Linked DNA regions of Alligator mississippiensis. The protein of the gene in region 3 interacts with the protein of the main gene of each other region in a pairwise test. Links are inferred from orthologs where the notes say so. Each region holds a gene or a part of one and is shown on either strand. Other genes may lie near its edges.

Region 1 (3,743 bases), on a different chromosome or scaffold from region 3:
CCGCAGCCTTCCTCGGCTGGGGCAACGTGGCCCGCGGGGCAAGATCGGGAGCGGTTGGGAAGCGAGAGTAGAGATGGCCCCGGAGCACTGTGTGCAGGGAGAGGCTTTCTTCCCTTCCAGCGCAGGGCTGCAGCCACTTTACAGCAGACCCATCTGGAGTGAATTACTGCCACGGTCTAGATCTGGCCATTTGCAAGCCGCTCTGCTCTGCTCTGCCGCAGCGTTTCCCCTCTTTTCTTACATACCCAGCGTTTTAAGGCAGTGGCAGCGTGCTCCACATAGAGCATTATAGGCAATAAAACAGCTGAGCAAAAGTCTGGGAAGTGTGCAAGAAGCCTGTGTGCTCCAGCATGCAGCGGGGCCGTGCCGCTGGCACGCGAGAAAGGGCTGTCAGCCCGAGGGCGAGAGGACCGGTGTGCCCAGAACAGAGGCGTCTCCCCCAGCAGCAAGGGGCTGCATTAGCTCCCCACAACCTGCCCCCCAAATGCTACCGAACCTCACAGGGCTAGTGCCCCTGCTACCCGCACCTCGGGCACCTGTCCTGGGCAGGACAGCCCCCAGCAAGGACTCCAGGGGGTAAAGCCCTGGGAGCTCACACTGCCTCTTCATCTCTCCAACAGCTCTCCTGGCACGGCAGCTTTCTGCCTCTCTCTGGGCCCCGGGCAGATGCAACCACGATGTTTCCGAAGCCCGGGAGCCCCTGCCCTGCAGCCTGATGCCCATTTCCAGCATTGCATCCTCATTCAGCAGCAACCAAGAAGCTCAGGTGAGCTTACGGGGCTGCAGGCAAAGGCGCCCGGGAAGCGTGCACGGAGCAGATGACAGTGGCACGCCGCAGGACAGGATTTTAACTAGCTGCGACCCAGCCAGCCAGCACGGTGGGCAGAGGGGCTGACCTCCCAGACGCGGCGAACACCTTGTGTGTGCACAGATAAGCACCCGGTGCAACCGTGCATGAGATGAAAAGAGTTTCCAAGACCGTCTGTGCAACACGGCGAGCGATGGGAGCCCAGAGTCCCGCTGTGCCCCCCACCAAGCCAAACCCAAAACGAGTTTTGGGTAAAGAGACTGCCCCAGGCTGCCCGAGCCCTACTGAGCACTCCCTTGCCCAAAGCAGAAAGTTACCTTGCATGGCTGGCTGCGGGGGGATCGGCAAGGAAAGCAAAGGGAAGCCCGCCTGTCCCGGGGAGGCAGCCGCGCTGGAGTCGGCTGCAGCAGGTGTGCTGGGAGACGGTGCCCCAGTCAATCCCGGCGCACCAGCAAAACACTGAAGTGCTCACCCAGAAACAAAAGCAGTCGCATCATAAACCGGGGGCTGACATCAGCGCAGGAGTAGCGTTTCCGACAGAGGTTCAGGTTTCATCACACGGGGCTGGAGCCTGGGCTCTTGCCACTCAAGGTACTCTGCATGTGCACAGGAGGCACACGTGGCCCTGGCCCCGGCCACGGGGCAGAGAGCGCGTTTCTGGGCACACCGAGAGCCACCCTCCTACTGACCCCAATCCTGCCGAAGCAAACCCCGCTGCGGCTGACGGGACCTGCTTGGGTCGGCAAGCCTGCGTCACGCGGCCAGGCTTGCTCGGACCACGTTGCACGCTCCTCTTTAATAAAGGCCGCAATAATCCCACCTGGCCCGGCACTCTCTGAAGGGACCCTCCGAGCCGTATCTCTTGGTACCACCGTGTTTCCTGAGTCGGCGGCAGCCGCTCATGATACGGGTGGGTGTTTTTGGGGTGGATTTCTATGCAGCGAGTGCTAGCACGGACGGCCACATGCTCGCCCGTCCCTCCAGGACCGAGGCATGGGTAAGGGCAGCTCTCGAAGGAGGAGTGGCTTCTCCAGTAGGAAAGGGACTTCTCCATCCCATCGCCCACCAAAGACCACACACACATATTCTGTGGGTCCGGTTGTGCATCACCTCCCCGACGGTTATGTTGCTTCACGCACACCGAGCCACTCACCCTCGCGGCACCTCCGCGCAGCAGGGCAGTCCGTCATCTCCAGGCTGCCACGGCTCACGCCGGTGACACGAGGCAGCGAGTCTCTCGGTCCCTGTCCGGGGAATACACAGGCAAGGATGCACCGCAGACCCAGCCCTGCCAGAGTCCTCCCTCCCTTGCTCCGCGTCTCCTTGCGAATGCACCCCAGGCCTGCACCCTGAAGGTCCCCAGAGGCACCCCGCTTTGCAAGGAGAAGCGGGGCAAGCAAGGAGGGACACGGGCGTGTAGAATTAGGCTCCTCCGGCCGCAGCGAGACCAGACGTCCCTCCGCCTTGTCCCGCTGCTAGAGCGGGGCAAGCTTCACACCGACGAGGCACGCTGGGAACAGCCGCAGAAGTTAAATTCACACCCTACCTTACTCCAGGTTAACTTTCAAGTGCCGACAAGACCAGAGCATTTCCACCCAGGACACTCCCCTGCTCTTCCCTCTCCCAGAGCGCTGCGTGTGAAAGCCCTGGCGCAGCACAACGGCTTGTGACCCCCTGGGAGGAATTTCTTGGCTCCGGCCCGTCGCAATCAGACCCTCGAGTTACGATGCATTTTGCACTTCATGCAATTTCTTTTGTTTCCTCGGAAGAGCCCCAAAACCAGGCAGGCTCCTCCCCTGCCAAGCAGCAGGCTCCCAGGCGGAGTTAACACATGCATCCTGCCCCCGCCAGAAGGGCAGGGCCCACGCCTGCCGCTGAACCAGAACAGAAACAGCTTTACTTCCAATGCGCCCAGCACCCAGGGGGGAAATCCTCCTCGGGAGCCTGGTCCTACCCCATGGAGGCTGCTTTGAAGCTGCAGGAAGAGGGGAGACCCGTAACCCGGTGCTCCTCCAGGAATAGCTGCCAACTGTTTTTGCAATTTGCATTTTGCATTTTTTTTTTAAACCCTCGGGGAGACCTCAGGAGCCAGGCTCCGCCTGGAAAGGATTTTCATGACCGCAGCTAAAACCCACAGAAAGCAGGGGGCTAGGATGGAAACCGGGGGCTCCGCTCTGAGCAGCTGGGACTGTTTCCCCGGTTAAGTCGATTAGCATTACTCAAGCCCACGCTGGCTCTCAAAGGGGTGCCGAGGAGAGGCTGACCAGTCACTCCTCTCCCCGGACGAGGAGCTGCGAGCGGAGCCGGTTTAGGGGAGCTCTAGCGGCCCGGGCAAACACACCCCAGCCAGCAAAGCCGTGTGTACACGTCAGGGTAAACGGCCGGGCTCTCTCGCGCCCTCACAGCTGCCATATTTTAGGGGCCACATCTGTGCATGGGATGCGCCAGCTCTGACAAACATCCGCAGCAGCTGGAAGGGATTCCCGGGCCCACGAGACTTCAACCCAACAAAAACCGGGATCTTGGGCTCAGTTTACTTGAAAAACACAACCCCAAGAGCTGCTTCTGCCAGCCCTGCAAGGGCGCTAGCGGACAATGCTTCTGCAACCCTCCCGGCCGGAGCTATCGAATGGCGCGGATCTAATTCCTCAAATCCGTACAACGATCCATTAGCCAGAGCCAGCCTTGCGTTTCAGGGGATGCTGTTTCTGTCATTGCTCGCGATGGAAGGGCTAGCTGGCGGATCCTGCAAACCCCTTCCCCTCGCTGAGCTCCCGCGGCAGACCGCGCTGCCGACTTCGAATAGCTCGTGACAAGCAGAAGTTTCTCGTCTCACAACTAGGAGCTCGAGGGTGCGGGGAAGAGCTAGAGCGTGGAAGTCCGGACACTTTCCTCCCTAACCTTTACGCTCCTCATTAAGTGGACGGAGCAACTG
Region 2 (3,743 bases), on a different chromosome or scaffold from region 3:
GGAGGGCAGTAGGCCTGAGGCCTCGGAGGCAGGACGCCCGCCTCCCTTGCCCTGGGGCTGGGCGTAGCCAGCTGTGTAACACTGGACCGGCGGCGAGGGGAGACGGGACCCTGCCTGCCTCGCGCGGATGCCACCCTGGGCCTGCTCTTCTCCCTGGGCCTGCCACGGCTGCGGGGTGGAGCACAGCCCCACAGCTCTGCCTGGGAGAGGGAAGGCAGCAGGGCTTTCAGCTCCAGTGTGTGGCAGGCAGGGCCCTGCCCCGGGGCCCTTGGCTCCGTGCCCGGAGCTGCTGCCTGTGCTTGGCTGAGCAGGGCCAGTGCCAGGTCCCGGCCTGCACTTGGAGCGGCCAGAGGCCCCTCCCTCTGTGGGGCAGGCGCTGAGCAGCTCCTGGCGCAGCTGGGCCTGGGCCCTGCGTTTGCATTTAACCACTGGCCAGACCTCGGCCCCACCCTAGCTGGGGCAGTGTTAACTTGTGCTCCCATCTCCCCTGGCTTCGTGCTCCCCCCAGCCCCACGGACCAGGAATGCTTTTTTCTGTAAAGAAGCTTTACTGGATGGACACGTGAATAGACACAAGCTCCAGGCAGCATCCGGCGGGCTGGGCCATGCGCCTGCGCCAGCAGGAATGTGACCGCTTGGTGCCCAGTGAGGTTGGGCTCTGCCCAGCCGGCACCGGTGACACCGAGCCCATCGCTGCCTCGCTCCCACCCCGCTCCGTGCATGAGACCACTATAGCTGGGCAAGGGCCCCTTGAGGCTGCGCCGTGGGCACTGCCCCCAGCCCCGCACAAGCAAGCTCGGGGCAGCCAGGCCCTCCCAGGGGAGGCTGTGAGCCTGCGGCCTCCACGGCGAGCAGCTGTGCTCGCCCAATGGGAGCAGGGGGCATGGCTGTGCTAACACCGTGTTTCGAAACCCACCCCGGGGGGGGGGGAGGCAGGGCTGCAGGGCTCAGATGCGGGTGGTGTCCTGGCCCGGCGGTGCTGGCTGCAGCCCCTCCAGCTGGTCCAGGATGTGGGCGACGTACGGCCGCTCCTGGGGGTTCACCGCCATCATGGAGCGCAGCAGCTGCTCCAGGGCGGGCGAGTACCTGCCGGGCAGAGCGCGGGTGAGCAGCAGGGCAGCGACCAGCCCCGCTACAGCTCCCCCCCCAGGGGCCGCACCGGCTCCTCACCTCGCGTGCGGCGGCACCGCCACGGGGTTCTGGACGGCCAGGGCCACGCTGTCTCCCTTCTGGAAGACCATGTCGTAGGGGCCCTCCCCGAACATCATGCAGTAGAGCACGCAGCCTAGGGACTGCAGGGCGGCCCGGTCAGCCCCGGCCTCGGCCCCGGCGCCCTCGACCCGCCCCCCAGCCGGGGGTGGGCCCCTTACCCAGACGTCCGTCCGCTCGTCGATGACGCACTGACTGTCCACGGTGAAGAGCTCGGGCGCCCGGTACGAGATGGTGCAGTGCTGCGCCGCCCAGTCCTGGGGGCAGAGGACAGGCTGAGCCGGGCGGTGGGGGTGGGGCCTGGCTCCGCGGCACCGTCCGGCACGGCTGCGGCCCCGGTGCCCTCCCCCCGGCTGCCAGGAGCCCCCCTCCGGCACCTGCACAGCCATGGCCTCGCGGGAGCTGCGGACCTCGATGCGGGCCTGGTTCACGGAGCCCAGGTCCATCAGCACGGGCTGGTCGTCGTCCCCCAGCAGCACGTTGGTGGGTTTGAGGTCCCTGCGGCGGGAGAGGCAGGCGGGCGGGCGTCACGGGCGGCCCTGTGGGCGGGGCCGGGGCGTGGCAGGGCGTGGCGTGGCGCTCACCGGTGGGCGTAGCCCTTGGCGTGGATGGCCTCCAGCCCGCGGCAGATCCCGCGCAGCACCAGCACGATCCGCTCCTCGCCCATGAAGGCGCCTTTGTCCCGCAGCGCCTCCACCTCGCTCCACAGCGTCCCGCGCTGCCGGGGAGACGCGGGCCCTCGTTACCCGGCGGCCAGGCCCCGCGCCCCGGCCCGGCCCGGCCCCGGGCCGCCCGCCTCACCTCGAAGAAGGGCAGCAGCAGCCAGGCCTCGCGCGTGGCGCCCTTGTCCACCAGGCCGTGGGCCTCGAGGCGCAGCACGTGGGGGTGGGCGAGCAGCCGGTGCATCTCCACCTCGCGCAGCGCCGCCCCGCTCGCCTCCGCGTCGTGGCACACGATGCGCTTCAGCGCGTGCGCCCGCCCGTCCCGCAGCCCCTCCACCAGCTCCACGTAGCTCGACCCCCTGCGGGGCACACCCCCCCCGCCGCGTGTCACGGGGCGCCGCCGCGGGCCTGCCCCCCGCGCCCCCCCCGCCCCGCGTGACCCCCGCGCTCACCCCTCGCCCAGGCGCTGCAGCACCACGTAGCGCGCCCCCGCCAGGCTGACGGTGCCGCGCGGGCACGGGCACAGCGCCTGCCCCATGGCGGGCCCGGGCCTGGGGTCAGGGGTCACCGGCCCCGGCTCCGCAGCGCCGCACCCGGAAGCACGACCCGCGCTCACGTCATCCCCCCGCGACCTGCGTCACAGCGCCGCGCCCGCGCCTTAGCAACCGCCGCGAGGGGCGGGAGGGGAGGGGAGGGGAGGGGAGGGGGCGGGGCTTGGGGAGGGAGGAGAGGGCGGAGCTGTAAGGGAGGGGCGGGGTTGGGGAGGGGGCGGGGAGGCAGGGCTGTGGGGTCCCCAGTGGAGGGGCTGAGGGGGGCGGGGCTTGGGAGGGGCGGGGCCGTGGGGGAGGGGAGGGGGGGCCCCCAGTGGAGGGTTTGAGAGGGCGGGGCTGCGGGGTCCCCTGGAGGGGCTGAGGGGGCGGAGCTTGGGGGCGTGGCTGCGGTATCCCCAGTGGAGGGGGTGCGGGGCGGGGCGGGGCGGGGCGGGTCCTCCCAGGCAGGTGGAGCCCCCAAGGCGTGGCGGGGGTGCGGCCCGCGGGCCCCGTGCGTGCGGCCCCCAGTGGGCGGTGGGTGGGTCGTGGCTGAGCCGCGCCCTCCCTCGCAGGCAGGGGCCGCTGGGAGCAGGGGCCGCGGCGGAGGAGCAGCTGGCATGTGACCTGCCGCCCGCACCATGGCCCTGCTCCCGCTCCTGCTTCTGCCGCTGCTCCTCGACGCGCCCCCGGCGCTGGGGGTGAGTGCTGGGGGGGCTGGGATGGGGCAGGGCGGGCCCCGGCCCCCAGCCCCCTGCCCAGCGTCCGCTGTGCCCGCAGGCGGCCCGCTCCTTCGAGGTGGACTACGCGGGCGACTGCTTCCGCAGGGATGGGGCGCCCTTCCGCTACGTGGCGGGCAGCCTGCACTACGCCCGCGTGCCGCGGCCCGCCTGGCGCGACCGGCTCCTCAAGATGTACATGAGCGGCCTCAGCGCCGTGCAGGTGTAAGTGCCCGGGGTCTGCGGGGGCCGGGCCGGGGCCACGCCAGGCGCTGACCCCCGCCCGCGCCCCGCTTCCCCCAGCTACGTGCCCTGGAACTACCACGAGGCGCTGCCCGGCCTCTACGACTTCTCCGGGGACCGGGACCTGGAGGCCTTCCTGGACCTGACAGCGGAGCTGGAGCTGCTGGTGATCCTGCGCCCGGGGCCCTACATCTGCGCCGAGTGGGAGATGGTGCGGCCCCCCCCCGCCCCTCCACCGGCCCCCCCGGGGGCTGCCAAGGGCACTGGGGGTGGGGGCGTTTGGGGGGGGGGGGCTGCATCCTGACGTGTCGGCGCTGCGGGGTCCGAGGCAGGACCAGCGCCCGGCCCAGCCCCTGCCTCAGCCCTGACGGCCGCGTGTCCCCA
Region 3 (3,743 bases):
AGCATGGTGGAGAGCCCCGGTGTGGAAAAGTTCCCGCCGCTCATATGCAAATGCGCATACTCTAATTGGCCAGTTTCAAATTATTCCTATGTGGCGGCTGGCAATTGGCTCGCTAGCCGTATAAAGGGTTGGAGTCGTTTCTGCCCGGGTTGGAGAACTCCGTGCTCGTCTCGGAGCGGAACCTGGTGGTCTGATCACCCGCCAATGACTCCCCGTCGATGACCCCCCCCCCCCCGACACACGCCCGTGTCCTGCATGCTCGAGTTCAGACCCGGTTTAAAGATATCTCATCTTATAAGAGCTCCTCAGTTTGATTGTAACAGAAGTTGGAGTTTAAAGTTAACCTTCTTCCTACGCTGTACATCATGACAGTGTAAGTAAAGCCATCTTTGTTTGAACCAGTACGCGTTTGTGCCTAATTCTACTCCAGCGGTTGCAAGTACCCATCTACGTGCTGGGTTTGAGGCTACAACCCAGCCGGCCCCTTTCCCAGATCCCAAGCTCGGTCACCCACATGGCGTCACGAACAGGATCAGGATTAACAGGATCAGGATCGGAATCGGGATTTGGGGAAGACCCGATGGAGTTAGAGTTAGTTAGAAGCTGTCCCTGGCACAGTGGGAGACACCACGTGTCGAATGCTGTGGAGCTAGGCGCCCACATCGCCTATCACCAGGCGGGCGGAATAGGTGAAAGGTTTGTCAGCGGCTATCTTTCGCTGAAAGGGGAAGAAGAAGACTCGTCTCACTGAGCACGGACAAGATCACGCGGCGTCCGCTTGTGGATCATCATTCATGACGGTGCATCTGCGGGTGTGCGAGAATCGTCCAGAGCTGAATCGTGTCCAAGCACTTGTTTCGTGTGCTTGGGAGAGAGTGGGAAGCCGCAAAGGGGATTTGATTAGCTGTCCCATTATGCGTGCGACTCCATATAAATAGTGTAATATAAGTTAATTAATTGTTCAAAGAATGCTTTCTTTGCAGTTTTTTTTGTTCGAGGTTCAAGATACATGTCAGAGGCGGACCCAGAGAGAGGAAGAGAAGACGCAGAGGTCTGACATGCGACTTTGCCATGACACCTACTGAACTCCTCGTGATTGAACTTTTTGTAACCAATGTACTTACGTGTGTTTGTGTTTGTATTGGTTACTATTTGATTCGATCCGTTGAGGACGAACTTTTTTCGTTGTATGTTTTTGTATATAGCCGGTTACCCCTCGAGAGGAGTGACGAGTTAGACGGCGTGCATGTGCTTCAAATTCCAGCTGTACCGTCGGCAAGGGGGCATGTCAGAACTGATCAGTTGAGTGCCTTGGTACAGTGGAACTTTCTAGCACAAGGCACGGCGAGACAGGGGAATTCTCGGCACGGTGGAGAGCCCTGGCGTGGAAAAGTTCCCGCCACTCATATGCAAATGTGCATACTCTAATTGGCCGGTTTCAAATTATTCCTACGTGGCGGCTGGCAATTGGCTCGCTAGTCGTATAAAGGGTTGGAGTCATTTCCGCCCAGGTTGGAGAACTCCGTGCTCGTCTCAGAGTGGAACCTGGCGGTCTGATCACCCACCGACGACTCCCCATTGACGACCTCCCCCGACATACCCCCGTGTCCTGCATGCTCGAGTTCAGACCCAGGTTAAAGATATCTCGTCTTATAAGAGCTCCTTGGTTTGATTGTAACAGAAGTTGGAGTTTGAAGTTAACCTTCTTCCTATGCTGTACATCGTGACAGTGTAAGTAAAAGCCATCTTTGTTTGAACCAGTATGCGTTTGTGCCTAATTCTACTCCAGCGGTAGCAAGTGCCGGGTTTGTGGCTACAACCCAGCCGGCCCCTTTCCTGGATCCCAAGCTCGGTCACCCACAGCTTTAAAATGCTGGTGAATGAGGCCTCTAGATGGGATGAAGTTCACACATATATTACAGCAATGTTCATGAAATGGTCCACCCTGAGAACCTGAGCAAAAATAGCTTCTTGATAGGTAGGCATTGTGGTGATACCAAAAATTGTGGCTACATTGTGTTATTCAATAACTTTCTGCTTTAGTCCACAATCCTTTGCCTCAACATGGATAGGGCACCATCTGTAGTGACACCAGTGAGAGATACCCACTTTATATTATTTACATAAATGAAGAGAACACTGCATTAAACCCGTTTCCTCTTCTGCTTCAGTCTTTCAAGCCAAAGGACGTTTTTGTGTATTTGAAAGTCTTCTCAACTCCACTAATAGAAAATAAGGATCTGAGAAGTACCTGTAACATTGGTACTCTTACCTGAAGTGACTGAATATGCCACAAAATTGTCAGCAACATCTTGAAGCTGTAGTTTAAGATCATCACCAATGTCTTCAACTCTGCATGACACCATCATTTTAGAGAAGCTGACCTGACTACTAACAGACTCTTTTTCTGGGCAAAATATATCCATATTTTCTGCATAGTCTTTGAAGAACTCACTGTCAGTAAGGAGGTTTATCCCTCTTTGTTATGTACAATGTAGCTGGATAATGAAGAAACGTCACTGCCTTGAACAACCTTTTTAAAAACTGACTGTTGTGCAATAAGGCCTTTCTGCAACAACTCCAGATTTTTCTTTTGAACATCACCATAAAACTAATTGTAAGAACTATGATTTATATCATGATGCTGGTTTATGTTCCTTCATGATTTTTTTCTTCCAAATTAAGCACAACACTAAAGTTGGGTCAGAATGTGCCCAGGGACCGGTACTAGTATGTTGCTTTTCTCCGAGTGCATCTACATGTGTACTTTACTGAGGAGATGACCAATTAGCTCTGCAATAAAGCATCACTGTCTACATGTGCCAGTATTAAGGTACAGTAAATTAATTAATTAACTTGGCTGTAAGATAGTACTATCCTATAGCAGAGCTCTTTGCTGCACAGAAATGCACATGTGGATAGTGACTGGGACTGCAGCAGTTTGAGCCAAGACAGAGCAGCCCTGGGCTAGCAGCAGGCTCTGGGGATCATCTGTACTGGTCCACAGTTTTGGCACTCTTGTGCCCCTCCACTGCCTGATGCCACCACCTGGAGTCTGAGGCTGACCACCCAAGCTGGCTGCTCCAACCTGGCTTAAACTCCTGTGGTCCTGGGCGCAGGTGAAGACTGAGACCAGAAGCAGATGATTCTGGCATGAACTGTGCCATACTTTATTGAACCACAATAATAGCTCATGTAGATGCACCCTATGGGCACATCTCCATGAGCAGGAACATGCATTTCCCTGGGGATGTATGCAGCGCGTGCAGTGTGTGCCACCGTGCAGCACCACATGCCACACATGTGCACTCATCTGGACGCACCCTATGTGTACACATACACATTGTTACAAGGGTGCTCTCTATATACATATACATGAGCAGTTTGTTAACAAACTACAAGCAAATGGTGCTCAAGAATATGCATTTTTCCTGGACTTTAGCCCAATAAAACTTCTTGTTTTGCACTGCAGGGCTAAGGACAGAAGTTACACTAAACCAGTTTAAGTGATCAGAAACTGGTTTAAGCCTGTCAGAACAGAAGCTCAGTGCACGTAGACCAGTATCAAAATGACTGAAACTGGTTTAAGATAAACCTGGTTGAATGTAGTATTGGACTTAACTGATTTGGGTCAAACTGGTTTATGAAACTTCTGTCCCAGACCTCTTGCTGGTTCAAGTTAAATCAGAGGCCACCCAGCATGCTTTTTAGTCCTGGGCTGGTCTGTGCCATCTGCTCCAGAG

What was found.
Region 1: the proteins of SAXO1 (region 3) and FHL3 interact in binary tests that used the Homo sapiens proteins (3 or more experiments, as listed by UniProt). The two-hybrid records come from large-scale screens. The link is inferred for Alligator mississippiensis from reciprocal best matches to the Homo sapiens genes SAXO1 and FHL3.
Region 2: the proteins of SAXO1 (region 3) and STK16 interact in binary tests that used the Homo sapiens proteins (3 or more experiments, as listed by UniProt). The two-hybrid records come from large-scale screens. The link is inferred for Alligator mississippiensis from reciprocal best matches to the Homo sapiens genes SAXO1 and STK16.

What each region holds. Positions count from the first base shown.
Region 1 is NC_081829.1:1,230,572-1,234,314, forward strand, and holds the start of FHL3 (four and a half LIM domains protein 3), read right to left. Parts: upstream 2,603-3,743; 5' UTR 2,355-2,602; intron 2,053-2,354; 5' UTR 1,999-2,052; coding exon 1,962-1,998; intron 1,898-1,961; exon of another isoform or gene 1,133-1,897; coding exon of another isoform or gene 1,126-1,132; intron 1-1,125. UniProt on the Homo sapiens protein: Recruited by SOX15 to FOXK1 promoters where it acts as a transcriptional coactivator of FOXK1.
Region 2 is NC_081827.1:254,253,687-254,257,429, reverse strand, and holds STK16 (serine/threonine-protein kinase 16), read right to left. Parts: upstream 2,538-3,743; 5' UTR 2,409-2,537; coding exon 2,323-2,408; intron 2,230-2,322; coding exon 2,010-2,229; intron 1,927-2,009; coding exon 1,793-1,926; intron 1,707-1,792; coding exon 1,586-1,706; intron 1,466-1,585; coding exon 1,370-1,465; intron 1,292-1,369; coding exon of another isoform or gene 1,170-1,291; intron 1,086-1,169; coding exon 729-1,085; 3' UTR 528-728; downstream 1-527. Other genes in the region: GLB1L (beta-galactosidase-1-like protein), read left to right, coding at 3,039-3,098, 3,178-3,341, 3,420-3,570. UniProt on the Homo sapiens protein: Membrane-associated protein kinase that phosphorylates on serine and threonine residues. In vitro substrates include DRG1, ENO1 and EIF4EBP1. Also autophosphorylates. May be involved in secretory vesicle trafficking or intracellular signaling.
Region 3 is NC_081826.1:178,423,799-178,427,541, reverse strand, and holds the start of SAXO1 (stabilizer of axonemal microtubules 1), read right to left. Parts: upstream 2,427-3,743; coding exon 2,273-2,426; intron 1-2,272. UniProt on the Homo sapiens protein: May play a role in the regulation of cilium length. Stabilizes microtubules at low temperature.